7 linked regions of the Macaca fascicularis genome follow. The main gene of each other region encodes a partner of the protein of the gene in region 4 in a complex. Links are inferred from orthologs where the notes say so. Each region holds a gene or a part of one and is shown on either strand. Other genes may lie near its edges. The genes, in order: PIGA, PIGH, PIGP, DPM2, PIGY, DPM3 and DPM1.

Evidence for each region.
Region 1: DPM2 (region 4) and PIGA share a complex: the UniProt entries of both Homo sapiens proteins name them as parts of the glycosylphosphatidylinositol-N-acetylglucosaminyltransferase (GPI-GnT) complex. The link is inferred for Macaca fascicularis from reciprocal best matches to the Homo sapiens genes DPM2 and PIGA.
Region 2: DPM2 (region 4) and PIGH share a complex: the UniProt entries of both Homo sapiens proteins name them as parts of the glycosylphosphatidylinositol-N-acetylglucosaminyltransferase (GPI-GnT) complex. The link is inferred for Macaca fascicularis from reciprocal best matches to the Homo sapiens genes DPM2 and PIGH.
Region 3: DPM2 (region 4) and PIGP share a complex: the UniProt entries of both Homo sapiens proteins name them as parts of the glycosylphosphatidylinositol-N-acetylglucosaminyltransferase (GPI-GnT) complex. The link is inferred for Macaca fascicularis from reciprocal best matches to the Homo sapiens genes DPM2 and PIGP.
Region 5: DPM2 (region 4) and PIGY share a complex: the UniProt entries of both Homo sapiens proteins name them as parts of the glycosylphosphatidylinositol-N-acetylglucosaminyltransferase (GPI-GnT) complex. The link is inferred for Macaca fascicularis from reciprocal best matches to the Homo sapiens genes DPM2 and PIGY.
Region 6: DPM2 (region 4) and DPM3 share a complex: the UniProt entries of both Homo sapiens proteins name them as parts of the dolichol-phosphate mannose (DPM) synthase complex. The link is inferred for Macaca fascicularis from reciprocal best matches to the Homo sapiens genes DPM2 and DPM3.
Region 7: DPM2 (region 4) and DPM1 share a complex: the UniProt entries of both Homo sapiens proteins name them as parts of the dolichol-phosphate mannose (DPM) synthase complex. The link is inferred for Macaca fascicularis from reciprocal best matches to the Homo sapiens genes DPM2 and DPM1.

Annotation. Positions count from the first base shown.
Region 1 is NC_088395.1:15,124,015-15,127,153, reverse strand, and holds the end of PIGA (phosphatidylinositol N-acetylglucosaminyltransferase subunit A), read left to right. Parts: intron 1-335; coding exon 336-602; 3' UTR 603-2,639; downstream 2,640-3,139. UniProt on the Homo sapiens protein: Catalytic subunit of the glycosylphosphatidylinositol-N-acetylglucosaminyltransferase (GPI-GnT) complex that catalyzes the transfer of N-acetylglucosamine from UDP-N-acetylglucosamine to phosphatidylinositol and participates in the first step of GPI biosynthesis.
Region 2 is NC_088381.1:135,494,109-135,497,608, reverse strand, and holds part of PIGH (phosphatidylinositol N-acetylglucosaminyltransferase subunit H), read left to right. Parts: coding exon 1-80; intron 81-1,190; coding exon 1,191-1,274; intron 1,275-3,500. UniProt on the Homo sapiens protein: Part of the glycosylphosphatidylinositol-N-acetylglucosaminyltransferase (GPI-GnT) complex that catalyzes the transfer of N-acetylglucosamine from UDP-N-acetylglucosamine to phosphatidylinositol and participates in the first step of GPI biosynthesis.
Region 3 is NC_088377.1:9,901,947-9,906,181, reverse strand, and holds the start of PIGP (phosphatidylinositol N-acetylglucosaminyltransferase subunit P), read right to left. Parts: upstream 2,801-4,235; 5' UTR 2,537-2,800; coding exon 2,463-2,536; intron 2,153-2,462; coding exon 2,049-2,152; intron 1-2,048. UniProt on the Homo sapiens protein: Part of the glycosylphosphatidylinositol-N-acetylglucosaminyltransferase (GPI-GnT) complex that catalyzes the transfer of N-acetylglucosamine from UDP-N-acetylglucosamine to phosphatidylinositol and participates in the first step of GPI biosynthesis.
Region 4 is NC_088389.1:16,050,622-16,054,828, forward strand, and holds the start of DPM2 (dolichol phosphate-mannose biosynthesis regulatory protein), read left to right. Parts: upstream 1-1,407; 5' UTR 1,408-1,447; coding exon 1,448-1,450; intron 1,451-2,064; coding exon 2,065-2,154; intron 2,155-2,929; coding exon 2,930-3,032; intron 3,033-3,799; coding exon 3,800-3,858; 3' UTR 3,859-4,207. UniProt on the Homo sapiens protein: Regulates the biosynthesis of dolichol phosphate-mannose. Regulatory subunit of the dolichol-phosphate mannose (DPM) synthase complex; essential for the ER localization and stable expression of DPM1.
Region 5 is NC_088379.1:94,070,560-94,073,313, reverse strand, and holds PIGY (phosphatidylinositol N-acetylglucosaminyltransferase subunit Y), read left to right. Parts: upstream 1-1,354; 5' UTR 1,355-1,449; coding exon 1,450-1,665; 3' UTR 1,666-2,254; downstream 2,255-2,754. Other genes in the region: PYURF (protein preY, mitochondrial), read left to right, coding at 1,213-1,354. UniProt on the Homo sapiens protein: Part of the glycosylphosphatidylinositol-N-acetylglucosaminyltransferase (GPI-GnT) complex that catalyzes the transfer of N-acetylglucosamine from UDP-N-acetylglucosamine to phosphatidylinositol and participates in the first step of GPI biosynthesis.
Region 6 is NC_088375.1:106,001,690-106,004,135, reverse strand, and holds DPM3 (dolichol-phosphate mannosyltransferase subunit 3), read right to left. Parts: upstream 1,144-2,446; 5' UTR 1,102-1,143; intron 880-1,101; 5' UTR 849-879; coding exon 570-848; 3' UTR 501-569; downstream 1-500. UniProt on the Homo sapiens protein: Stabilizer subunit of the dolichol-phosphate mannose (DPM) synthase complex; tethers catalytic subunit DPM1 to the endoplasmic reticulum.
Region 7 is NC_088384.1:107,047,382-107,050,881, reverse strand, and holds part of DPM1 (dolichol-phosphate mannosyltransferase subunit 1), read left to right. Parts: intron 1-575; coding exon 576-609; intron 610-2,306; coding exon 2,307-2,383; intron 2,384-2,468; coding exon 2,469-2,494; intron 2,495-3,500. UniProt on the Homo sapiens protein: Transfers mannose from GDP-mannose to dolichol monophosphate to form dolichol phosphate mannose (Dol-P-Man) which is the mannosyl donor in pathways leading to N-glycosylation, glycosyl phosphatidylinositol membrane anchoring, and O-mannosylation of proteins; catalytic subunit of the dolichol-phosphate mannose (DPM) synthase complex.

The sequences.
Region 1 (3,139 bases), on a different chromosome or scaffold from region 4:
TGTTCAGACTTTGCGGGACTTTGGAATTCTAGTAGTTGGCTAAAATTGATGGTGACTCCCTAGGGGAGAGGTACTGTGGCTTATTCTTTGTATCACACAGCCTCTAGCCTGGTGTCTTGCCCAGAATAAGTACCCAGTAAGTTTTGAATCAAATGGCAATGATTATTGTGATTAAGTTCATTAAGGATATCATTACTATGACAGCAACAAAACACAAGCAACTTTTGTTTGCGTTTGTTTATAAAATGTTCCTGCAGGATCCGGTCATTGTTTATCATGGGACAGGTGATGGGGTGATGGGTGAAAGTGCTCACACTTGCCTTCTTTCCCTCTAGGTATATGACCGGGTATCAATGGAAGCTGTGTTGCCAATGGACAAACGACTGGACAGACTTATTTCTCACTGCGGCCCAGTAACAGGCTACATCTTTGCTTTGTTGGCAGTTTTCAGCTTCCTCTTCCTCGTTTTCTTGAGATGGATGACTCCAGATTCCATCATTGATGTTGCAGTAGATGCCACTGGGCCACAGGGTGCCTGGACTAATAACTATTCTCACAGTAAAAGAGAGGGTGAGAATAGTGAGATATCTAAAACCAGGTAGAAGAAAGCCTAGATTGTAAGATTTTCAACATTTCTAATAGTTCTATTAAGACTATGGAAAATAACCTTGCTTTTGGGGGGTTTTGTTTTTTTTAGAGTTAATTTAGTAAGTTATGCTACCTCTATATCATTCAATATTTTCTGTTGAGGAAAGATTAAAAAGTTATGCAATTCCTGAGTGTAGAAACTTCTTGCACTTATTTAAAATTTAGGAGAGAACATTTAAGCCACTCAGGTATGAAATTTTTCAGACTACTGAAATCCCTGTAGCAGAGATGTTTTAACATTATATTTTGAGAGCTTTGGGTGCTGAAGGGCCAAACGTTTTCTGGGCATTTTTTGGCCAGTTTTTAATGTTACACCATTAGACACTCACCAGATGTTTACAAGTTTTCTTTAGGGAACTACAACAATTATATGAACTGTTTTATATCATGTTCATATACGTTTATTAGAAATCTAAATCACATCTTTAAACATTTATTAGGTTCACTCAGTAGGTGTTACATATAATTAACAGGTTCCTTGAGTAAGATAGTCCATTAGTAACCAGCACATTTTGAACCCCTGCTCTGTGCAGAATGTTGAACTAGATGTTTCCCGCCATTAAGGACCAGGGGTGCATTCACTCTCTGTTTACCATTCAAATGGCTTACTTCATCATAATCATTGTTGATATGAGATAAATATCCAACATGCCAAAAATGCTCTTGCCAGTTAATGCCGGGAAAAAAATCACCAACACACTACTAGTACCTGTTGTATGCATTCTCCTAGGTAGAGCCTTCATCTTCAGTTGTGTTTATGAAGATATTTTTTGCTTTTTCAATACTGGGGACCGATATCACTGTTGATAGTGCAGAGAAACCCTCCATATTTTTCAGTGCATATTTGAGTTTTCTATAAATGCCTTCGTGTTTTCTGAGCGGAATGTATGAGGTGTGCCATCCCAAAACCAGCTGCTACCCTGTCCTTTTAATGTAAGTCACTCCCCTTCACTGTGGCCTCGCTGATGTCTGATAAGTATTGTCAGTATGCAAAAAGCTTTACTTCAGAATGTTTTATTTATAGCAAACCGAGTTGAAAATTTTAGCAACAGTCTTTGTTGTTGGATCGTATTAACTGTAATTGTTGTTGCCCAGAGCCATGGGTTTTTTAACCCCAAATTATTCACATGGTGTGTATTATCAATTCTTTGAACTCTTAAGGTTTTTGTGAGAAAAGGACTGTGAATTCAAAACAGTGAGGCCCTTGTGGGTGCACTACATAGATTCTGACAGTGTTGTGATACTGTATAGGATTTTTAAAAATGACAACATTCACAAAATTTGTTACTTTTTAAAAAATAACATGCCTATTACCTGGTTGCACTGATATAAAAGAAATATATTTGTGTTTTGTTTGTACTAAAATGCAAAAGCAAGAGTGCAGTTTTTGAAATCTAGAAGTTAGGGGCACTTTTGTTGGAGAAAAATGGACTGATCTAAAGCATTCAGTCTTACTGGGATTTTTATGCATAAAAACTCACATATAAACATGAAATAAACAGTGCCAATATTCATTGTAAAGTGAGAAACTATAATATTTGGCTATTATTCTATTCAACAGGTTTTAGACGCACGCCACCATTTTTTCCTTATATTTTTGCTTGATTTTTTAAAATTGTCATTTAATTCTTAAATTGTCATTTATTTGAGATGGAAATAAGATCTAAAGTTAGTTGCCTTTGCTTGTAAGACATGTAATTTGCAAATTACTACTTTTAACAAATGGAAGTAAATTTGTTTTACGTAAATCTTGATTTTCAGCCTTCCTGGATACCTTAATTGTAACTGTCAGTGTTGCACTGGTCGGTATGTGGAAACACATTGCTCTACCCTGCTACTTACGTTGATTTTAAAGTGAATTTACAGTGATGAGGAATTTGTGAAAACTATATTGTATTTCTTTTGATGTTTCAAAAGGTTGCCTATGAAAAACTGATTTGTTAAAACATGCTACATGTCCAAAAATAAAGACCAGAATGACATTTTGCTAATTTTCTGTTTGTCTTATTTTATGACCAGACTGTTATTTACTAGTGGAACAGGCTATCCCTGCCCCCGACACATTCTTTTCCAATGCAATTTGGATGTGTTGCTTGGTCTATTAGTAAAACAAGAAATACCCTTTGGGCGATGAATTACTCTGTCATTTTTTGTTTCTAGAATATCTTCTCTCTCTTACTCATGGAATAGCAAGTTCAATTGTGCCTTTGTTTCCTTACCCAAATAAGCCCTTGTTTTTCACTGCCCTAGCGTTATCATGTGAGACAAAGGAAAAGATCTACAAACTGTATTGCGTATGTGAGCTACATAATTATGCTTTCTACTTTGCCCAACACAAATTTGTAAACTTTCTTAAAACATTATGAGACTTGTGATTTTCTTTTTTCTTTTTTTTTTCAGCTCATCAGCTATTGTTAGTGTATTTTCATTTATTTATTTATTTATTTATTTATTTATTTATTTATTTTTGAGACAGAGTTTCACTCTTGTT
Region 2 (3,500 bases), on a different chromosome or scaffold from region 4:
ATGCTTCAGGCAAAGAAAGCACTACCTTCATAGAAATGGGCAAGGTCAAGGATATTGTCATCAATGAGGCTATCTACATGGTAAGTATTTGAAAGGCAGTATTACAGTCCTCTCTGGAGGAGGTAGCCAGCCCATGGGGTGTTCCCAGATCTATACTGAGCCTTAATACCTAAAGTACTTGATGTCACAGAATTAAACATGAAGATCCTCTGCTCTAGTACTTACAGTACTAGAGTTTTCTTTTTGGCTGGCATGTCTATAAACCATAAAAGTGAGACTTATATGTAAAAGGTAAATCTCCTTATTTTTAAAGAGATGCAGCAGGTTTTCATGGATAGAGAATTAGTATTTCAACTTTATCTTCAAGACCAACTCCAAAATTATCACTGGCATTTTTTCCTTCTCTTTCTTTCTTTTTTCTTTTTTTGTGAGACCCTGTCTGTTACCCAGGCTGGAGTGTAGTGGCTTAATCACAGCTCACTGCAGCCCCAACTTCCCAGGCTCAAGCCATCCTCCCACCTCAGCCTCCTGAGTAGCTGGGACTACAGGCATGCACCACCATGCTTAGCTCGTTTTTTCTATTTTTTGTAGAGATGGAGTCTCACTATGTTGCCTAAGCTGGTCTTGAATTCCTGGGCTCAAGCCCTCCTCCTGCTGTGGCCTCCCCAAGTGTTCAGTTTACAGGTTTGAGCCACTATGCCTGGCCCTGTCTTTTTTCATTTAAGGAACAAGAATATACTTTTCTCCCACTTCAAAAGCTATCAAGTGTTCTACTACTTAACCATTTGTGAAAAAGCGTTGAGCCTTACCTTAGAAAAAAAGAATGTGGCCAGGCGCAGTGGCTCACGCCTGTAATCCCAGCACTTTGGGAGGCCAAGGCGGGTGGATCACCTGAGGTCGGGAGTTCCAGACCAGCCTGGCCAACATGGTGAAACCCCATCTCTACTGAAAATACAAAAAATTAGCCAGGCATGGTGGCAAGCACCTGTAATCCCAGCTACTTGGGAGGCTGAGGCAGGAGAATTGCTTGAACCCGGGAGGTGGAGGTTGCAGTGAGCCAAGATTGCACCACTGTACTCCAGCTTGGGCAACAGAGTGAGACTCTGTCTCAAAAAAAGAAAAAGAAAAAGAAAAAAGGAATGCAAAATGAGTTTCACTTAGACTTTGCTATTTGATTTATTTTCTTACAGCAGAAGGTGATTTACTACCTCTGCATCTTATTGAAGGATCCAGTGGAACCACATAGGATATCCCAAGTAGTACCTGTCTTCCAGGTGAGCATAGAACACTTTTACCGTTGTCCAATTAATCCTCAACCTTTTCTGTAGGAATGTAAATTCCTTTTTTCAGAGTATTGGAAGACACCTGACAGCTGTTTTGAGTGATAATTAGGATTTCAGTTATTTGAGAAGTTCCTCTCTGAGGCAAATATAGTCCTTAAAAATATTATTCCTGCATATTTTATTATTTTATTTTATTTTATGAGACAGAGTCTCACTTTGTCACCTAGGCTGGCTTGCAGTGGTGTGATCGTCACTCATTGCAGCCCCCACCTCCTAGGCTCAAGAAATCCTCCTGCCTCAGTCTCCTGAGTACTTGGGACTACAGGTGTGCACCACCACACCTGGCTAACTTTTTTTTTTCTTTTTAGTAGAGATGAGGTCTTGCCATATTGCCTAGGCTGATCTTGAACTCCTGAGTTCAAGCAATTCTCCTGCCTCAGCCTCCCAAAGTGTAGGGATTACAAGCATGAGCCAGCACACCTGGCCTCATGCACATTTTAAAGAGCACAATCAAATATATAGCAACCTCTGCCTACAAATCACTATTCATCTACTTTGACTCTGTCAGTCTACTAATGTACAGTTTTTTAGATAGAGGTCATTGATCTCACATTGTATGCTATTGTGTGTCTTGCTTTGTAAATAATATGTATGTGTCCTACAAAGGCCATTATATTTATTATTTTAAATAACTATATTGTATAATATATTGAAATGTCAGTTTATTTAGCCACTCTTGCCACCTTTTAAAATCCTGCCTGGAGTTTTTTGTTTTGCTCTTACAAAAAAAAAAACCACTTATCAGCTGGTGCAGTGGCTCACGCCTGTAATCCCAACACTTTGGGAGGCTGAGGCAGCAGATCGCTTGAGCTCAGGAGTTCGAGACCAGCCTGGGCAACATGGTAAAACCCCCATCTCTACAAAAAATACCAAAATTAGCTGAGCGTGGTGGCACACATCTGTGGTCCCAGCTACTCAGGAAGCTGAGGTGGGAGGATTGCTTGAGCCGAGGAGGTCAAGGCTGCAGTGAGCTGTGATCATGCCACTGTACTCAGCCTGGGTGACAGAGATCCATCTCAAAAAACAAAACAAAAATTATACAAACATAATAAATTATACAAACATAATAAATTACGAAGTAAATTATTTTAGAGGTAGGTATTTATGCACGTATTTATGTATATAGTTAACCCTGCCTCACTGACCTTTTTCACAAAGGATTTAAGATAGCTAAGTTAAAATATTATTTTGCATTATAATTAAAAATTATTTTATTAAAGCTTATGAATAGTTTTATAGACTTCTAGTGTTTAAGATGGGGCTCCAGAGATTGGACAACATTACCATACTTTGGGGCTTTTGTACTTCTTTTTCTACCATCCTGGCTAATAGTGGATTTAGCTTTTTTAGCTTAATATGTAGGTAAAGGCATTTTAAATAGGTAAATTTGTATCTCTTTAAATGATAGGCTTTTCATATTTCCTTGTATTACCTATCAGTATTTCCTCTTATTTTAAACTACCTATCTTCTCTATTAGTCAAGAAGAATCTGAATATTATGTATTTGTACCTGTTTTTATATATTTTTAACAATCTTTATATATTTTAGGTAGTATACTTTTATTAAATATACTTTCACATATATTTTTCCCATTCTGTGGTTTTTCTTTTAATTTTGGTTATTACATTTCATTGTACAAAACATTTTTCAATATTTACATATTAAACTGCCCTTCTTGTCTTTGAGGGCTATTTTATAACGTGTGACATTTCTTGAGGGTCCATTTTGTTTTTCCTCTTTGCTTACTCTTAGAGATGGAGTTCATGAAACTTAGACAGATGAAAAAGCTATCATTTGATCTCCCACTTCACACAATTCACAAGGTGGGCTGTGAGCCTAGCTGGGACTCTTCCCAGCAAGGTGTGCTGAGGCCTAAACTTAACTCCCTGAGCTCACTGCTGTGCCATTTATACCCCTTGATGTGGGTGAGAGATTGAAGTTGCATGTGGGCCCAGTACCATGGCTCAAGCCTATAATCCCAGCACTTTGGGAGGCCAAGGTGGGCGGATCACTTAAGGCCAGGAGTTTAAGAGCAGCCTGGCCAACATGGTGAAACCCTGTCTCTACTAAAAATACAAAAATTAGCTGGGCATGGTGGTTCGTGCCTGTAGTCCCAGCTACTCGGGAGGCTGAGACACAAGAATCATTTGAACCCA
Region 3 (4,235 bases), on a different chromosome or scaffold from region 4:
GTGAACCCGAGAGGCGGAGCTTGCAGTGAGCCGAGATCGCGCCACTGCACCTCCAGCCTAGGCGGCAGAGCGAGACTCCGTCTCAAAAAAAAAAAAAAAAAAAAAAAAAAAAAAAAAAGACACAGCAGCACATTAAAAGGCCCTCCTTCCACTCCGTATCCTCCTTCCCCTTGCTTAATTTCTCCCCATGGTACTTTATCACCTGATACTGTATACGTTTTTCTTATTTAATTTGTCCATTGACTATCTCCCCCCAGCGTTAGAATAAAAACTCTATGAAAGCAGGGCATTTTTGGCTGTTTTGGTCCTTCCTAGCCTGTAACAGTGCCTGGCACATGGTAAGCACCAATAAATACTTGAATTACTTTTTGGTTGTGTGTATCATGGAATTTAATTTTTTTTTTTTTTTTGAGACAGAGTTTCGCTCTTGTTGCCCAGGCTGGAGTGCAATGGTGCGATCACCGCAACCTCCCCCTCCCAGGTTCAAGCGATTCTCCTGCCTCAGCCTCCCAGAGTAGCTGGGATTACAGGCATGCGCCACCATGCCCTGCTAATTTTGTATTTTTAGTAGAGACGGGGTTTTTCCATGTTGGTCAGGCTGGTCTCAAACTCCCGACCTCAGGTGATATGCCTGCCTCGGCCACCCAAAGTGCTGGGATTACAGGCGTGAGCCACTGCGCTGGCCAGAATTTAAGTCTTAAAGTGATTGCTTTTATTTATTCATATAGCTTCTAATCCTTGATACATTCTTTGAACAAGGATTTACGAAAGTTGCTAACAATAACATCAGTAGCTAACACTTATTAAGTCCTTAACCGTTCCTAGGCATTATTTTACATGCTTTACATAAATTACCCCGGTTAATCCTCACAACAGTCAGAAGAGGCAGCAGAGTGAAGTCAGTCGGTGTATTTGGGTTCAAATTTAGAGGCCTATCATTTAGTAGCTTTGCAATCTTGAGTAAGTTACTGAAACCACAGGATGCTCATCTTTAAAGGACAATAATAACAGAACCTACCCCATAGAACTGTTTCATGTGTCATAAGCATTTAATAACCATCATTATCACTAACCTTTTACAGATAAGGAACCTGAGATTCAAAAAATTTGCTGAGCGTCCCAGCTCACATGGGTAATCTGTGGAGGAGTCAGAATTTGAACTCAGTTGTAACTTCTTCACTTCATTTCAGTTGTAACAGCCTGGCCATTACATTCATCTGCAAGCTGTACTGATGGTGCAGGCTGATATATTTTAGTTAGGGTTCAGAAGTACTACCACTCCTCCACTTTCCTAGTTTCCAAAGAGTTGCAAAACGCTGGATCAGGGGCACTCAATTTTCTCCCTCTTGTGTGCCTCAAAATTCCCAAATCCTTTTGGGGAGAGACTTGGGGCTTGCTGTGTGACTGAGCATACTAGTGTCTCAGTGAGCGTCAGTCTCCGTATCTGTAAAACGGAACGTTATGGGGATTAAGGGAGATCCAGGACGAAAAGGACACACCTTTCAACCTGACTTCTCTGGGCTACTTCTTTTGTTCCCCAGATCCCCGCAGGGCACACTGGTGCCATACCAAGCTCCTCGGGTCCAAACCCTCTCACGCCCTCATTCACGGCCTTTCCACGTCGTCCCTCTCTCCTACTCTTTTCTAACCAGCATCAGTGCCAGGGGGAAAGGCCTCTGTAAAAGCCTTGATTTTCCAGTCTGGTTTCAATGTCTCTCCACCGTGCTCCCCTGACACTGAGCACTAACTGTAGATTTACTCATCTGTCTCCTCCACAAGACCACGACCTCCTTAAGGGCAGGGACCAGGCTTTATTCACTTTGCCATCGCGTCTGGCGCTGTATAAATATTTGTAGAGACTAAAACCTCCTAGGCTAGTGCTGGCACACAGAACACTCAACAAACACGAGTTCCCTTCAGATTCTCTTAAAAAGAGACATAGGGAGAAAGAATCAACAGTTCATGTGTACACAGTCTAACCAATGGATTCTTCCCTTGTCACTGAACGCCAGAAAAAGCCCCTGGCCATCCATCAGGAAAGTACTTACTGAAGCCAAACTGGGAGCTTAAGAAAAGAACAAAGCCATAAATCGCTCTTTCTGGCAATGGCGACGGTGAATTTTCCACCATTTTTCCTGGGGCTTTAGACAACCTGTGGAAAAGGAACACAATCAGCCATCAGCGAGGTGCTCCCCGGCACCATTGGTCCATTCTCGCCCCATCGCTCCGCCGCGGGCACGGCCCCCGCCGCACAGAACCGCCTCCCGCGCCCCCGTCCGCAACCCGCGCCCCCGCCTCGCGCGCACACAGGCACCCAGGTTGGCGCGCGCCCCGCAACAGAAGGGGTGGCGGGGGATAGGGCAGCGAGAGGGGCTCGGGGGGACAGAGGCGCGCTCCAGCTCTGCCAGCGTGGTCTCCCTGTGGGAGGGGAGGGCAGGGAACAAGGCTCGCGCGGCGCCCACCAGCACGCGGGCCTGCTGGGTCGCGGCGCCCAGGCCCCGGGCCCTGCCCACTCGTGGAGATTTATATTTCTCATTCGAGGCAGGGTATGGGGGGGCCCTCGACCTCGGGTCCTTCGTACGCCCACCCGGGCCCCTCTCGACACCTCGGCCACCTCAGCGCTGAGTTCTCTGCGCAAGGGCCGACCAGGCGCCGCAGTGGGGGAGAAAAGAGGAAAACCTGAGGGAAAGGCCTAGGCGCAACGACACCCCCCACCTTGGCGCAGGCGCACGAGGACCCTCCCTGGGTGGGAGCCGGGCGGCACGAGGCCGGCGTGATCCCGCGAATCGCCACGGCGAAGGAGGGGGCGGTGGGGTGCGACTGCGCAGGCGCGCTGCCCGCCCACGTGATGCACCTCCCTTCAGCGCAGCCGCCCACTCCCTCCCGCCGTCGGCTGACGTGGAGGGCCGGAGGTGCCGGCTGCGGCGGCAGCAGCGGCGGAGGCTGCTGCCTGCGCCGAGGCTCGCGGGCGGCGGGCCCGGGTGAGTGCACACCCGGCGCGCGGCCGGGCTCCCGGATGTGTCACCTTGTCCCGCTGCAGCCGAGATGCCGGGGGAGTGGGGCATTCCACACCCCCTCCGTGGGTGTGTGGTGAGTGTGGGTGTGTGCGCGTCACCCCGCGTTCCTCGCTGCGGTGCCCGCTGTGTGTCTGCATGGGTTGGGGCCCCGCGCAATGAGGGGGTGTGGCCGCTATTGCCTGCCCCAGTGGGTTTGTCCCCTTGGTCTGGTGCCCTTTTGCGAGCGAGGCCCTGGGATGCCGGAGCGAGGGTGGGAGTAGTCGCTTTGTGCGCATTCCCCCGCTGCCCGTGCCTCGGCCGGTGCGTGGCTGACACCCCCTGCTGGGTGGAGGGGCCCGCGCTCGCGTGTCGCCTCGTGGTCCCCTTTGTGTCGGTGTCCGCGCTCCCTGGCGGCTGCGGGGGCGCTCTCGGCCTCGCGGGTGGCCCCCCCTTTGTGTCACTGCCCATGTCTGTGGGCTGCGCGTTCCCCAGCGCGCGTGGCCGCGCCTCCTGTAATCGCGACCCCCGCCTAGAGCCTTGCTCGCGCGAGTGTGCGTCCTCGCGTGTCTCCGAGTGTCCCCAGAGTGTCTGCGCATGGGTTCTGTCGAGTGCGTGATCTCATGTGTGCGGGTTTAGTTTTGTCGAGTGGGTATCTCTTGTGTGCGGGTTTCGTTGGTGCGTGTTCGTGAACGTTCGTGCACATCCCTTGCTGTGTGTGCGTGTGTTCACGACTCTGTTGTCACCTGTTTTCGTGTGAACTGGCAGTCCAGTCCAGGGCCTGTCCCTACGGAACGGACCCAGGAGGGGGGTAACCTCGCCGCTCCCCTCGCCCCCGCGCCTCTTTCTGAGCATCTTCCCCCACAGACGCTAAAGGGAAGGGGGGTGGACAGGATCGAGTCTGGCGAGTTGCTCCGCAGTGTTGACGCTGCCAGTTGCTCCGCAGTGTTGACGCTGCCAGTGTGGCTTCTTCAGCCAGCCTGTTCAGGGCACAGAATAGAGGGATCAAAGATAAAAAATGGAGCCGAGACAGGTGAATTTGGGCTGGTACCAGTTCGCCGTGCGTTTTCAAACAGAGGCGCCCTGGACGTCAGAACCCCCTCAGTTGCAGAGACCTTTCAAAATATATGCACACGCCTGCTGGGCGATGCTGTCCTTAGCCGTTCTTGATGATATTTAATGGTTTGTAGAGTATTTTATGGCATTCACCTAAATCGCTTTCCATTTTGCCCAACATCCTGG
Region 4 (4,207 bases):
TTAAAGCTGGCTGGTTCAAAACTCTTACTTTGGGCCGAGCGCGATGCTCACACCTGTAACCCAAGCACTTTTGGAGGCTGAGGTGGGCGGATCACCTGAGGTCAGGAGTTTGATACCAACCTAGCCAACACGGTGAAAACCCATCTCTACTAAAAACACAAAAATTAGCTGGACGTGTTGGCACGCGCCTATAGTCCCAGCTACTCGGGAGGCTGAGGCAAGAGAATCACTTGAACCCAGGAGGCGGAGGTTGCAGTGAGCTGAGAACACGCCACTGCACTCCAGCCTGGCCGACAGTGAGACTCCCATCTCTGGGGGAAAAACAAAAAAACAAAAAAAACCTCTTACTTTGGGCCAAGCCTCCACGGGGTGCCAGGGATACAGCAGCAATCTCAGATCCTACCCTCAGGGAGCTGACAGGGCCGGATGAACAAGTGTGTCAGTGAATTAAAAGGCACAGGAGGCTGGGCACGGTGGCTCACGCCTGTAAACTTTTGGAGGCCGAGTTGGGAGGATCGCTTGAGCCCAGGAGTTCGACACCAGCCTGGGTAACATAGAACTCCGTTTCTAAGAAAGAAAAAAAACCCTTCCCAGCTGGCTTCCCTGGGGAACGTGGCGTCCCAGTGAGGCTGGATGGATGGGGAGCAGCCGGCCGGTGAGTGGTGGGGGCCCGCGTTCCTATCTCGGAGCTGAAGAAGCGTGGAAGATGATCTGGCCCAACATCCCTTTGTTCTCAGAGGAAGGATCCTCCAAGATCGGGGAGGGGCCTGTGCGTGGGTTCTGGTCCGAAACATGTCTGGGCTGCTGCGAGAGGCAGCCGGTGAAGGAAAGGAGGGGACATCCAGAGGGTGGCCCAGGAGGCCAGGCGATGGTGAGGAGGGCGCCCCCTCTCCACCAATCCAAATCCTCCCCATTCATGCGGGCTGGGGACAGACCCTCCCCCGCCCATCCTAGGCTGAAAAGTGAACATTCTCTGCGCCTCTCCCACCTACAGACTAGTTACGGCCCCCCAGTTCCCGTGTCGGCTTCACCACTGACTCGGATTGGGATCTACCTTTCTCTGAGCCTCGCTTTTCCCATCTGAAAAATGGAACTTCCGATCCCGCACTCCCATCTCACTCTGACCCCAGGACTTTGGGATACTTAGAGATTGGCTTTTGGTGGGGCGGCGACAGGACTGTGGCCATGAAGGCCAGGGAGTCTGGGTCCCCAACTCGGTCCCATTCCCTAGGGAGATTCGGGCAGCAACCGGCCCCACAATGCTCTTGAGAACTACACTTCCTCGATATGCAAAGGGGAGGAGGCGGTTCCTGCTAGTCTCCGACGACGTGGGCCTGAGCCGGCCTGGGGACTACGACTCCCGGCGCGCTCCGCAGCCCAAAGCCGGAAAAGCGTGAATCCGGAACCGGATGTGGCTTGCGGCTCCGGTGACTGAACGCGCGGGGAAATGGTGAGATTGGGACAGAGTGCCGGAGATAGGGGCGTCTGGGGGTGGGGTCTCGGGTACTCAGAAGCTGGGGCATGGGCACTGGAACGGGGATTGCTCTCCCGCCCCCCCTATTGTACGGACGATAACGCGGAGGCCTGGCATTCTCTCCCAGCCTAGAAACTGATCCCTAGTCAGCCCTCTAGCATCTTTTTTTTTTTTTTTTTTTTTTTTTTTTTGAGACGGAGTCTCGCTCTGTCGCCCAGGCTGGAGTGCAGTGGCGGGATCTCAGCTCACTGCAAGCTCCGCCTCCCGGGTTCCCGCCATTCTCCTGCCTCAGCCTCCCGAGTAGCTGGGACTACAGGCGCCCGCCACCTCGCCCGGCTAGCTTTTTGTATTTTTTAGTAGAGACGGGGTTTCACCCTGTTAGCCGGGATGGTCTCGATCTCCTGACGTCGTGATCCGCCCGTCTCGGCCTCCCAAAGTGCTGGGATTACAGGCTTGAGCCACCGCGCCCGGCCTCCTCTAGCATCTGTTGAATGGGAAGCTTAGACCGTGATTGGGCCGCGACGCCCCGCCTCCATTAGTACGCCAAAATAGAGAGTCACTTCGTCAGCTGAGACCTCCCTTTTCTCCAGGCCACGGGGACAGACCAGGTGGTGGGACTCGGCCTCGTCGCCGTTAGCCTGATCATCTTCACCTACTACACCGCCTGGGTGATTCTCTTGGTATGTCATTCTCCCCGTCCGCTGCTCACCTTCCCGTAGCCCTGGCACCGCCAAAGCAACTTCTATGTAGGTTCTAGGCACGGCGCTGGCTTCATTGCCTGCCTTATCTCTTGAAATCTTCAAAACAACGCTATGAGGAAGATGCCAGTGGTGCCGCATTTTTTAGATGAGATAGCTGAGGCTCGGGGAGAAGGATCTGGCCCAAGATTGCATCCTTAGCCGCTACACTTAAAACTCTGTTTCCAGCTTGCTTTGACTTTTGGGGGAGTTATGTTCCTTCTGGGTTAGCCTGCTGACTCAGGCATGGCGAGCGCCAGTGATATCTGTGAAGGCCTTTAGGATATTTTTTTCTTGTGGGAAAACGTGTTGGTCATTGCTTAAGAAGTGCAGTGTGTTTGGAAGTGCAGAACTTGCTATCCTTTAGGGAAAAAATATTAGTGAAGAATCCCTGGAGGCCCAGGTTGGGAGTCAGTCGAGGATTCCTCATGTACTATTTGCTAGCCTGTGAGTGCCTTAGGGCTGGTCTCTTGTCCCCTGTTCTCTTGTCCCCACCACCAACCTATGGCAGGCACCAAAGCAAGTGCCCGGTAAATACCAATAAGAAATTAAGGAAGGAAACAAACCATGACACCCAAATGCCATAATCTTAAAGAAAAGCAAATGCAGGCCCAGTGCTCTGAATGGGCCAGCCCCTTAGATGCTAGAGGTGGTGTGTTTGGGCTTGGGGGCTGGGCAAGGCGAGCAAGGCTCACCAGAGCTCTGCCCTCGATGCCAGCCATTCATCGACAGTGAGCATGTCATCCACAAGTATTTCCTGCCCCGAGCCTATGCTGTCGCCATCCCACTGGCTGCAGGCCTCCTACTGCTCCTGTTTGTGGGTAAGTCATCACTTCCTCCCCTTGACCCCGGGCAGGGTTTCGGGGGGACCCCACCTCTGAACATGCTTCCACACTTTGGCACTGCTGGAAGCTCCTTGCCCCGAACTCACCCCTGGGGTTTTCCTGTTCATCCTTCGAGGTTGCCAGTCAGTAACCTCTGGGTTTCCTGGTGCCCCAGGCTTTTTGGACTCCAATGACCTGTCCCCCTCTTTCCTGCCCCCAACCCCATCATTGCTCTGCTCACACCTCAGTCACCCTCTTGTCACCCTGGCTTCTAATTCCTGCACCTCTCTCTCTCATGGCTTCCTAGGGGCGGGGACTGTGTCTCCATCATTACTGTGCATCTAGAATGGGCTGTGGCACTGAGGTTGTGCTCAGAAAGTCATTTGGATGAGTCAGTCAATAGCCGGGTGCCTGGATGATGGGTGGATGGATGGGTGGGTGGGTGAGGTATAGGAGGTGGGTAGGTATATAGGTGGACAAGTGGTTGACTGGGTGATCTATAGATGGGTGGATCTTGTTCCCCTTGGAATCTGAAACACTAAATGCAGCATCTTTGCCTGAGGCAGGCACTCAGCTGGTGTTTGTTGAATGAATGTGAGTGGACCTATGGCTTGACGAATGACTAGGGAGATAAGCAGGTTCCCTGGAGAGTGGTTGGGTAGGTTCACAGCCCTGCGTGTGGGTGGCTCTGCTGTGTCGTGCCCTGGCCTCCCAGCAGCCCTGAGCTTAGATCTTATGTGGCCTTTCTGGTCTATGTATTCCAGGACTGTTCATCACCTACGTGATGCTGAAGAGCGAGAGGGTGACCAAGAAGGCTCAGTGAAGGTCCCGCGGGGATGAGGCTGCCAGCCCCTTCTCTGCTTCCCCTCCAGCACAGGGACCAAGTAGGGGAGCCTGCAGAACCTGTCCAGGCACAGTGGCGCCTCCAGCCTGCCTGTCCTGCAGAGTCCCCATGACATGGAGCTTACCCCTGCCTGACCGGAGCCCCCTCCCTGACTCTCACTTCCAGAAGCTAGGAGGGAGGAATACCTGGAAGACTCCAGTCACCCCCTTCTTGCTCAGGGCCTAAAAGATGCTGGTCTCCCAACCTCACTCTCAGACTCCCTGCCACCTTTTCCCCCGGGTTTTGCCATGTTGCCTCACTTCCCCTCCTGTCACATGCTGACATTGGA
Region 5 (2,754 bases), on a different chromosome or scaffold from region 4:
GCTTCGCGACCGGCTGCTCTTTGCAATCACCCGGGGACCGTTTTAAAAATGCCGATTCCCCTGCAGCCCCCAAGACGGGCAGACTTGGAATGCTCGGGGGTTGGGACCTGAACATTTGTATTTTCTTTTTTTCCTTTTAAGAGACAGGGTGCCCCCCTACGTTGCCCAGACTGGCCTAGAACTCCCACCTCAGCCTCCTCAGGAGTCGGGAGACAGGCGCCGCCGCCACGCCCAGCTTATTTGTGTTCTTAAATGGTCCCTAAATGATTTCTAACGTACCACCAGGTTCTTGAATTACTGCGATTCAGGACAAGTCCAAAGCCATCCGGTTTTTAAGCCAAGATAATGAAAAGTATTTTACCCTCCAGATTCTTGTGAAAGTGTCTTGTACAACTGGTGCCTGACAATCTTAAGCAATTCAGCTGTGTATGCTGCCTGGTGGCTCTTAGTTGTGGCCTAGCAGATTTCTTAGAAGCCTCTTTAACCTAGTTTTTGGGAAGACAGCTCTACAGTTTCCAAGCTCCCAAAAATGGAATATTGACAACACTAACGCTAGTATTACAAATCGCATAAACGAAACACCAAAACGTTGTCAGTGGTTATCTTTGAGTGGTAGATTGCTAGCAATTTTTCATATTTCTTTTTTCCCATAATAAACATATTCAGTTTTCTCAAACCTTGAAATTATTTGATTTGCGTTTATAACTAGCTCACGGCAGACTTACTGCTTTCCAAAGTTTCCTCATTTCTGCCCTCTCACCTTTTCCAGTGATTTCCTTCTAATGGATTAGTTAAGTTTTTCTGCTTAGCATTTATTCTAAAACGAAGAAGTTGATTTTTCTCTAGTGTTTATTCCAGTAGTAAATTAACAGAGATGATTTGGGGGTTGACCAAAGTAATGAAGGAATATTTGGATAAGAGAGGGGGATCTTTTCTGACTAGTATGAAAAAAAAATTAAAGAATAACTTGTGAATAAGGTGAAAAAGAGAATATGAGAGAAACTGACTAAAATGGGAATAATTATAGATTCTAAGAGAATTTTTCTAAGATAAAAGGTTGAATTGGCTATCGTTGCTTTTAATGAAAGAAGACTATTCTGGGATTAACTCCATACCAAGAATTGGATAAATGATGGTATTTGTTGAAAATCAGGCTCTTCAATTATTTTATTTTTCCACAACTCATTTTGTTCTTTTTTTTTTCCACCCCAGATATGAAGCATCAACAAATGAATTGATTAATGAAGAGTTGGGAATAGCTTATCCAATCATTGATGGGATTCCTAATATGATACCACAGGCAGCTAGGATGACGCATCAAAGTAAGAAGCAGGAAGAAGTGGAGCAGCGCTAGTTCATAATTAAAAAAACATAAAACGCAACAGCCAACTTTTCTTAGTACCATATACCTTTTAAAACACAGTGGCAGGTAATAAGTGGAAGAGAAGAATGTTTCTGTCTCTTCCTACATTGACTGTTCTTATTCCACTGGTTTCTTTAACAGGACTGTTCTACTCAGCCTCTGTGGAAGAAAACTTCCCACAGGGCTGCACTAGCACAGCCAGCCTTTGCTTTTACAGCCTGCTCTTGCCTATTACCATACCAGTGTATGTATTCTTCCACCTTTGGACTTGGATGGGTATTAAACTCTTCAGGCATAATTGATGCAACTAGAGTCAATATGCTGTATACATTAATGGTAGTTCTTGGGCATCTATCTCTGAAAGCTCAAATGGATGGAATTGAGTTTGTGGGAAAGAGGCTTTGCTTTGCGCATATCAGGCTTAGGACTGTGGGAGGCTTAAGTTGCAGGTGCTTCTTTTATTGTGCTCTTGTTCTGCCCTTGTTTTTTGAAGGCTCTGACTTATAACTGCTGTATCAGAAGAAACATTTTGACAGTGTCTTGTTGGAGATAAACATCCCTAATTGACATGTGATGACTATTTCTTATTCCATTCATCTAAAAGTCATTGAAATTTTGTTTTGCTTGTTTGTTTAGCTTCAAGGTCTTTGGTAAAGTCACATGTTAGGGATGACTGAAATAATTCCAAAGGAGTGATGTTGGAATAGTCCCTGTAAGGGAGAGAAATGCATTTGAATGAATGTGATACAAAACCATATAATGAAATAGAAATTTCATGTACTTACAAAAATTGAGTTTGTAAAATTACCTTCATTTCTTTGACATTAAATGCTTATATTAGCAATAAAGATGTTGACACTTTCCCATAAAAAATAAACCAGTTTGTAATCATTTGTTTTGTTTATTTGTTTGGTCACAGAAGTGTTATTGATACTAAGGGAAGTTGTAAAACTGCACTAAATATAGCTGTGTTGAGAGAGGTACTTAATACCTAAAATAGAATCATTTCCTAGGAAAGTAGGGGGTGGGAAGACTTGCAAGTAGTGGATTGTGCCCTGTTGAGCTTAGAGCCATATTTTGAGCCACATTTCAGTTTATTTTCCCAGGACGCTGAATAACACCACTAAGGGCATGAGCATCGACACATTAATAGCCTCTGATTTTCCAGAACTTTCAGTAAGACTAATCGAGCATAGTATAATACTTCTGAAGTATAGTGTGTTTCAGTAGTTAACCCAGAGAAACCAAAGAACCGAATACAAACTTTATTTTTATTGGAATCTTATGTTAACAGAAACCTGAAACAGTGATTCTTCTGCATCAAAAAATTAAGACATGTTAGATGTGTTTTCTTTTGAATTAATTCAGGGTATACTGTAGTATAAATGACA
Region 6 (2,446 bases), on a different chromosome or scaffold from region 4:
AATCGCAGCACTTTGGGAGGCTGAGGTGGGCGGATCACGAGGTCAGAAGATCAAGACCATCCTGGCTAACACGGTGAAACCCCGTCTCTGCTAAAAATACAAAAAATTAGCCAGGCGTGGTGGCAGGCGCCTGTAGTCCCAGCTACTCAGGAGGCTGAGCCAGGAGAATGGCGTGAACCCGGGAGGCGGAGCTTGCAGTGAGCGGAGATCGCCCCACTGCACTCCAGCCTGGGCGACAGAGTGAGACTCTGTCTCAGAAAAAAAAAAAATAAGAAGTACTTCCTATAGGGCTGAAAGGACCAAGAAAGTGAAATGTCATTTCCATCCTGAGAGATCTTGAGAAGGCGTCTTTGCCTCCTTGGGAGCAAAAATGGGAATACCAGCATGATGCAAAATACAGGCTGAGATGGCCTCAGGAAGGTGGTTCTTTCACATTCACTTCTCGACAGTTAGTACACTGAATCCCCAACACCCATTTTCCATACTCAAACTAAACGAAGTTAGAAAATACTGGCTCTTTAATGGGGCATGGGAGGAAGGGCTGTCCGGACAAGAATGGGGTCAGGCTGTCAGAAGCGCAGCCCCCTGCGGGCTAAGTCGGCTCGGGCCTCCTGTATCTGGCTCTGCAGCTCGCGTGCGGCGTCCTCGCAGTCATGAAAAGTGGCCACACGATAGCCCACAGTGGCCAGGGCATAGCAGCCGGCGGACACCAGCAAGTAGGCGGGCAGTGGCCACAGGACTTCCTGGCAGGACAAGGGCAGCTCCAGGCCCATGGCTCCCGTGGTCAGGGCCGCCCAGGTGGAGCCCAGGATCGCCAGTCCCCAAAGCCACTGCGCTAATTTCGTCATGGTCACTGCGAGAAAAGAAAACAATGCTCCCCTGAGGAGCAGAAAGGAAAAGAGGACCAAACTCAACCGAAGCCCGCCCAGGGAGAGAGCATTTAAACCAACCGTAGCCAGAGGGGAATCGCCGATCCCAGCGGTCCGAACTTGAGTGCCCACAAAAGGTGGAAGGGTTCCTTCCACCTTGCTACCCCCCTCTATATTTGAGACCCACTCCCCATCTCTCGCCCTCTCCGTTCAGCTTTCAACCTACACTTACCTCTACCCCACGTCTCCCATTCCCCGCGCGGCCCGGATATTCATGTCCGGAAGTCCTCCCTGGCTCACGCTCCGCTTCCGCGCGGCCTTCTGGGAGTTGTAGTTCACATGGCGGTCCTTGGCGTACTCTTGGCCACCGCCTCAGTCTAGGCGGGGTCCAGCGGACTGCGCTCCGCAAACCCGGAGCAGGCTGGGTCTGGAGAGGCCTGGGCGCTGTTTCCCCACCTTGGGCTCCGCTTCAGGCTGGCTTGGATCTTGAGGACATCCTTAAATGTTGCAACAAGATGGGAATATAATACTGTTCCCCTTAAACTCAATTCTCCAGAGCTGAAATCCATTCCTTCATTCACTGGTTCATTCATTCGAACATGTCTTTCTTTTCTTTCTTTCCGTTCTTGACAGGGTCTCTCTAGACTGTCTAGGCTGGACAGAACTTTTTTTTTTTTTTTGAGACGAAGTCTCGCTCTGTCGCCCATGCTGGAGTACAGTGGCGCGATTTCAGCTCACTGCAACCTCTGTCTCCCAAGCAGCTGGGATTACAGGCGCATGCCACCAAGCCCGGCTAATTTTTGTATTTTTAGTAGAGACGGGTATTTCACTATGTTGGCCAGGTTGGTCTCAAACTCCTGACCTCAAGTGATCTGCCCACCTCAGCCTCCCAAAGTACTGGGATTACAGGCATGAGCCACTGCGCCCAGCCAGAACATTTACTGATTACCATGATAGACTTTGGAGATACAGAGATATCACGCGACTCGACCCCTCTTTGGATGGAGGGGGAAAGCAGGAGTCAGGGAAACAGTTGCATTGACAACTAACCATGAAGGCTTGAGATTATTGTTAGAACAGAGGTAGTTATATTTTTACAAGGACAACAACGAATATAACTTGGAGCCAGAGGAAGAAGGGCTCCAGGAGGCTGTGTTAAAAAAAAAAAAAAAAAAAAAAAAAAAAAGAAAAGAAAAGAAAGATCGGAAGAATTACGTGAGGTGGTGAAGGCACTGAAAGAAGGAGTATAATTCTTTCGAACATTTTTGGGGATGAATTTATTATACAGAGAAAGAGAAAGAGAGAGAGAGAACTAAGTAAGAGAAAAGGTTAGGCAATTATCAACTTCAGAGGAAACAAAGAGTTATAAAAGAAAGGAAAGACAATTGATAAAAGCCTGTCTTATAAAGACCACATCTGTAGTTTGACAGGTTTATTAACTTGCTGCAACAGAGAGAACACACTAGAGGAACTGTGGGGCAATTCATTAAAAAGGAAGAAATATGGTCATTACAGGTGATATGGTTTGGCTGTGTCCACCCAAATTTCAAGTTGATAAGTATCTCCCAGAATTCCCA
Region 7 (3,500 bases), on a different chromosome or scaffold from region 4:
TAAGCAAAAATATTAAGAAGGACTAAATGACAAATAAAAAGAGAAAGAATTTAATTAGGAATATGACATGTCCTTGGACCAGTAGAGGAGATGAGGTCATCCAAGCATAAGGTCAAGATAAGTTAATAGAGGAAGAGTGATATTAGTATTCAAAACCCAAAGGGAATTGAGAGAACAAACATCAGATTTCCCAAGAAGGTGTGAAATAATGAGGTAAGTCCTACATTTTTCTAGGAAGGAATCAATAGGTTTAAAAGGAAATTCAAGTATAGATGTAAGGACATGTTATTTAAAATAGAGTGAGTGACAACAGAAAAAAAAAATTTAATTTTGATTGTAGGGTCGGGGTTAAAGAATGTTGCTTTGCCTCAGAAGCTATGTTAAACTATTTGGTTTGTTACCAAATGCTTTTTTTTTTTTCCTTTTGGCAAAAAAACATTAACCATACTCTGCTTTAAGTTCTAACAAGTGCAACTATATTTCTATTAAAATGAGTATGCACTTTTGAATAAAATAAAATTTAACATGATAACATTTCTGTTTCTTTGTGTAAAATGCTGTTTCTTATTTTACAGCTTCTAAAACCACGGGAGAAAAAGTTGGGACTAGGTAAGTCGCGGAACCTCTAACCCCTCATGCCTGCTACTTGCCTGGTGACATGATCCAGTGTGTATTTGCCCAGTTTGGAATAGGGCCAAAATACAGTAACTTACTGTGATGGTTTTTAATGATCTTAATGACATTTAAATGGTATAACTTGGGTTGCCTGTATAAGTCAAGGCCCACTCAGGACGATAGAAACCACTGTAAGTCTTTCGGTGTAGGGAATTTAATACTGAGTCGCTGGTTACACTGGTGAAGGAGTTCCTGAGAAACCAAATGGAGCAGTGAGGCTACTAAGATTAGTAACAGCTGGAGGTCACTGCCACCCCTAGGGATGGAGCAACAGCAGGAAGAGATGTTTTAAGAGCCTAAGAACCTGGGCTGCCCAGAGGGAGCTAGAATGATGGGGTGGGGGCTGCCTGGCAGGAGCTAGAACTGTGGGAAATTCCCAGTCAGAGGTGAGGGTTTCTCCATGTTGGTCAGGCTGGTCTTAAACTCCCGACCTCAGGTGATCCACCTGCCTCAGCCTCCTAAAGTGCTGGGATTACACACGTGAGCCACCGCACCTGGCCAATTTTTTGTATTTTTAGTAGAGATGAGGTTTCACCATGTTGGTTAGGCTGGTCTTGAACTCCCTGACCTCAAGTGACCACCCATCTCAGCCTCCCAAAGTGGTAGGATTACAGGCATGAGCCACCACACCCAGCTGATACTCACTTCTTAACAAAATAAGTTAGAAGAGTTCAGCCTTGCTTATAAAACACCTGTGAGGTGTCTGGACTAGAGAATGCAGGAATCCCCAAGTCCTGCTCCTGACCAGTTACCCTAGCCTGCCAAGTCCCTGTGGGACTTTGAGGCATGGAGCTGGCTAAGTAATTGTCAGCAAGGCCTTTGGCCTCAAATACCAGAGCAGGGGTCTAGCGTACCAGGCATACAGTGTAAAAGACAGTGTGTGGCTTTTGTGGAAGTGGACTTAGAGCTAGGAAGAGCAGAAGCAGGGAGGCTTGTTAGGTAGTCATCTAAGCATCAGAAGGTAGCACCTGGAACTAAGTGACGATCGACAAGAAAAAGGGAATTGAAATGTTTTGGGTGGTGAATCAATAGGACTTAATTATAGTTTAGAAGTTATGGTTAAAAGTAGGAAATCAAGAGTCATCTCTAGACCTGTGGATGGAGCAATTGGATAGTTGGTGCCATTTCCTGGAGAGGTGGCCTGTAAGAGAGAGGTAGAGAATTGGAAGATGATTTTGCGATGTTATCTTTGAGATTTCTGAAATACCCACAAGGAGATGTTAAGTAGGAAGCTGGTTTGTAAATGTGGAGCTCTAAGGAAGGGTCTGACTTCATCAGTCTCTTAGGGGGATGCTAAGGAAACACCAGATGGGTTTTTAAAGCATGAGAATGTGATAATTGCTACATAATCTCAGACTTTTGAACTTATAAACTATTTGCTCAACTGAAATAGAGGTATGATCTCTTCTATTAAATTGACATCTGAATGGGGGTGTGTGGCCAGCTACCTTCTTGATTATATATGTAATATACATGAACCTGTGTACTTAAGGTGAAAAATACCGATTTATGAATACCACTTTTAGAGGACTAATGTATGCTCTTCAGGTGCTAAACAGTTTCCTCCACGTTCAAATGTATATGTTAAGATTTCTGTTGACTTTCTTGAATGGATATACTTTCATTTTTAGGAACTGCATATATTCATGGAATGAAACATGCCACAGGAAACTACATAATTATTATGGATGCTGATCTCTCACACCATGTAAGTGGTATGTTTCTTTATTAGCTATTTATGATAATCTTAGCCTATTTTACTGACTTTACTGTTTATTCTTTCCAAATTTCAGCCAAAATTTATTCCTGAATTTATTAGGTAGGTACTATTTCTAATATTTGAAAGAAATATGACTGGAACCGTTTATCTTACTGGTTTTGGGCTTATTTTCATTTTTTATTAATCAAAAATATACGTACTTTTTTTTTCTATCAAAAATATAAACAAAGCTTGGGAGGTCAAGGCAAGAGGGTTGCTTGAAGTCAGGAGTTTGAGACCAGCCTGGGCAACAAAACAAGTCCTTATCTCTACAAAAAAAATAACAAAAATTAGCCAGGCACAATGGCATGCGCCTGTAGTCCAGCTACTCAGGAGGCTCAGGTGGGAGGATCACATGAGCCCAGGACTTGAAGGCTGCAGTGAGCTATCATCATGCCTCTGCATTCTAGTCTTGGTGACCCTGAGACAGAGTGAGACCTTGTCTCTAAAATATTTATCTGTATAGATAGTAGACACACACACATACAACACACATTTGAGACTAAATGATGTACTTTAGGAGTCCTGAGGAGCAAATCAATAGGTAGTTCCTTTGTTAATCTGAATTCTTTCAGACCACAGAAAAAGGTGGAAGACGGCTTCTTTGATAAATGGAATTAAGCCTTGAGTTATTAGAGTAAAACACCATGAACAAAAGAGTTTATTCCAGGAATGCCAGAATGGCTCGTTATTGGTAATCACTCATAATTCATTCATGAGTAGTGTGGTTAACTCTGTAGATGCTAAAAGAGATATTATTTACTACCATTTTCTAGTTAAAACTTTAAGAATAGAAGGAAACCTCTTAAGCATAATAAAAATAACCCAGTCCTAATACAAATATCACACCAAATAGTGAAATGCTGAATCATTTCCAGTAAATTCATTAAGATAGGCATGCTAGCTATCATTAAACATGGAAATGTTAATACAGTAACGCAAGAATTTAGTTAAATATTAGTAAAGTATACATAATTTATTTGTAGGCAATATAATTATATTCTTAGCCCAAAGATCACAAAACCTCTGTGAATAAGATTTTGGAAGCTGTTCTGAGTTTAAGCTA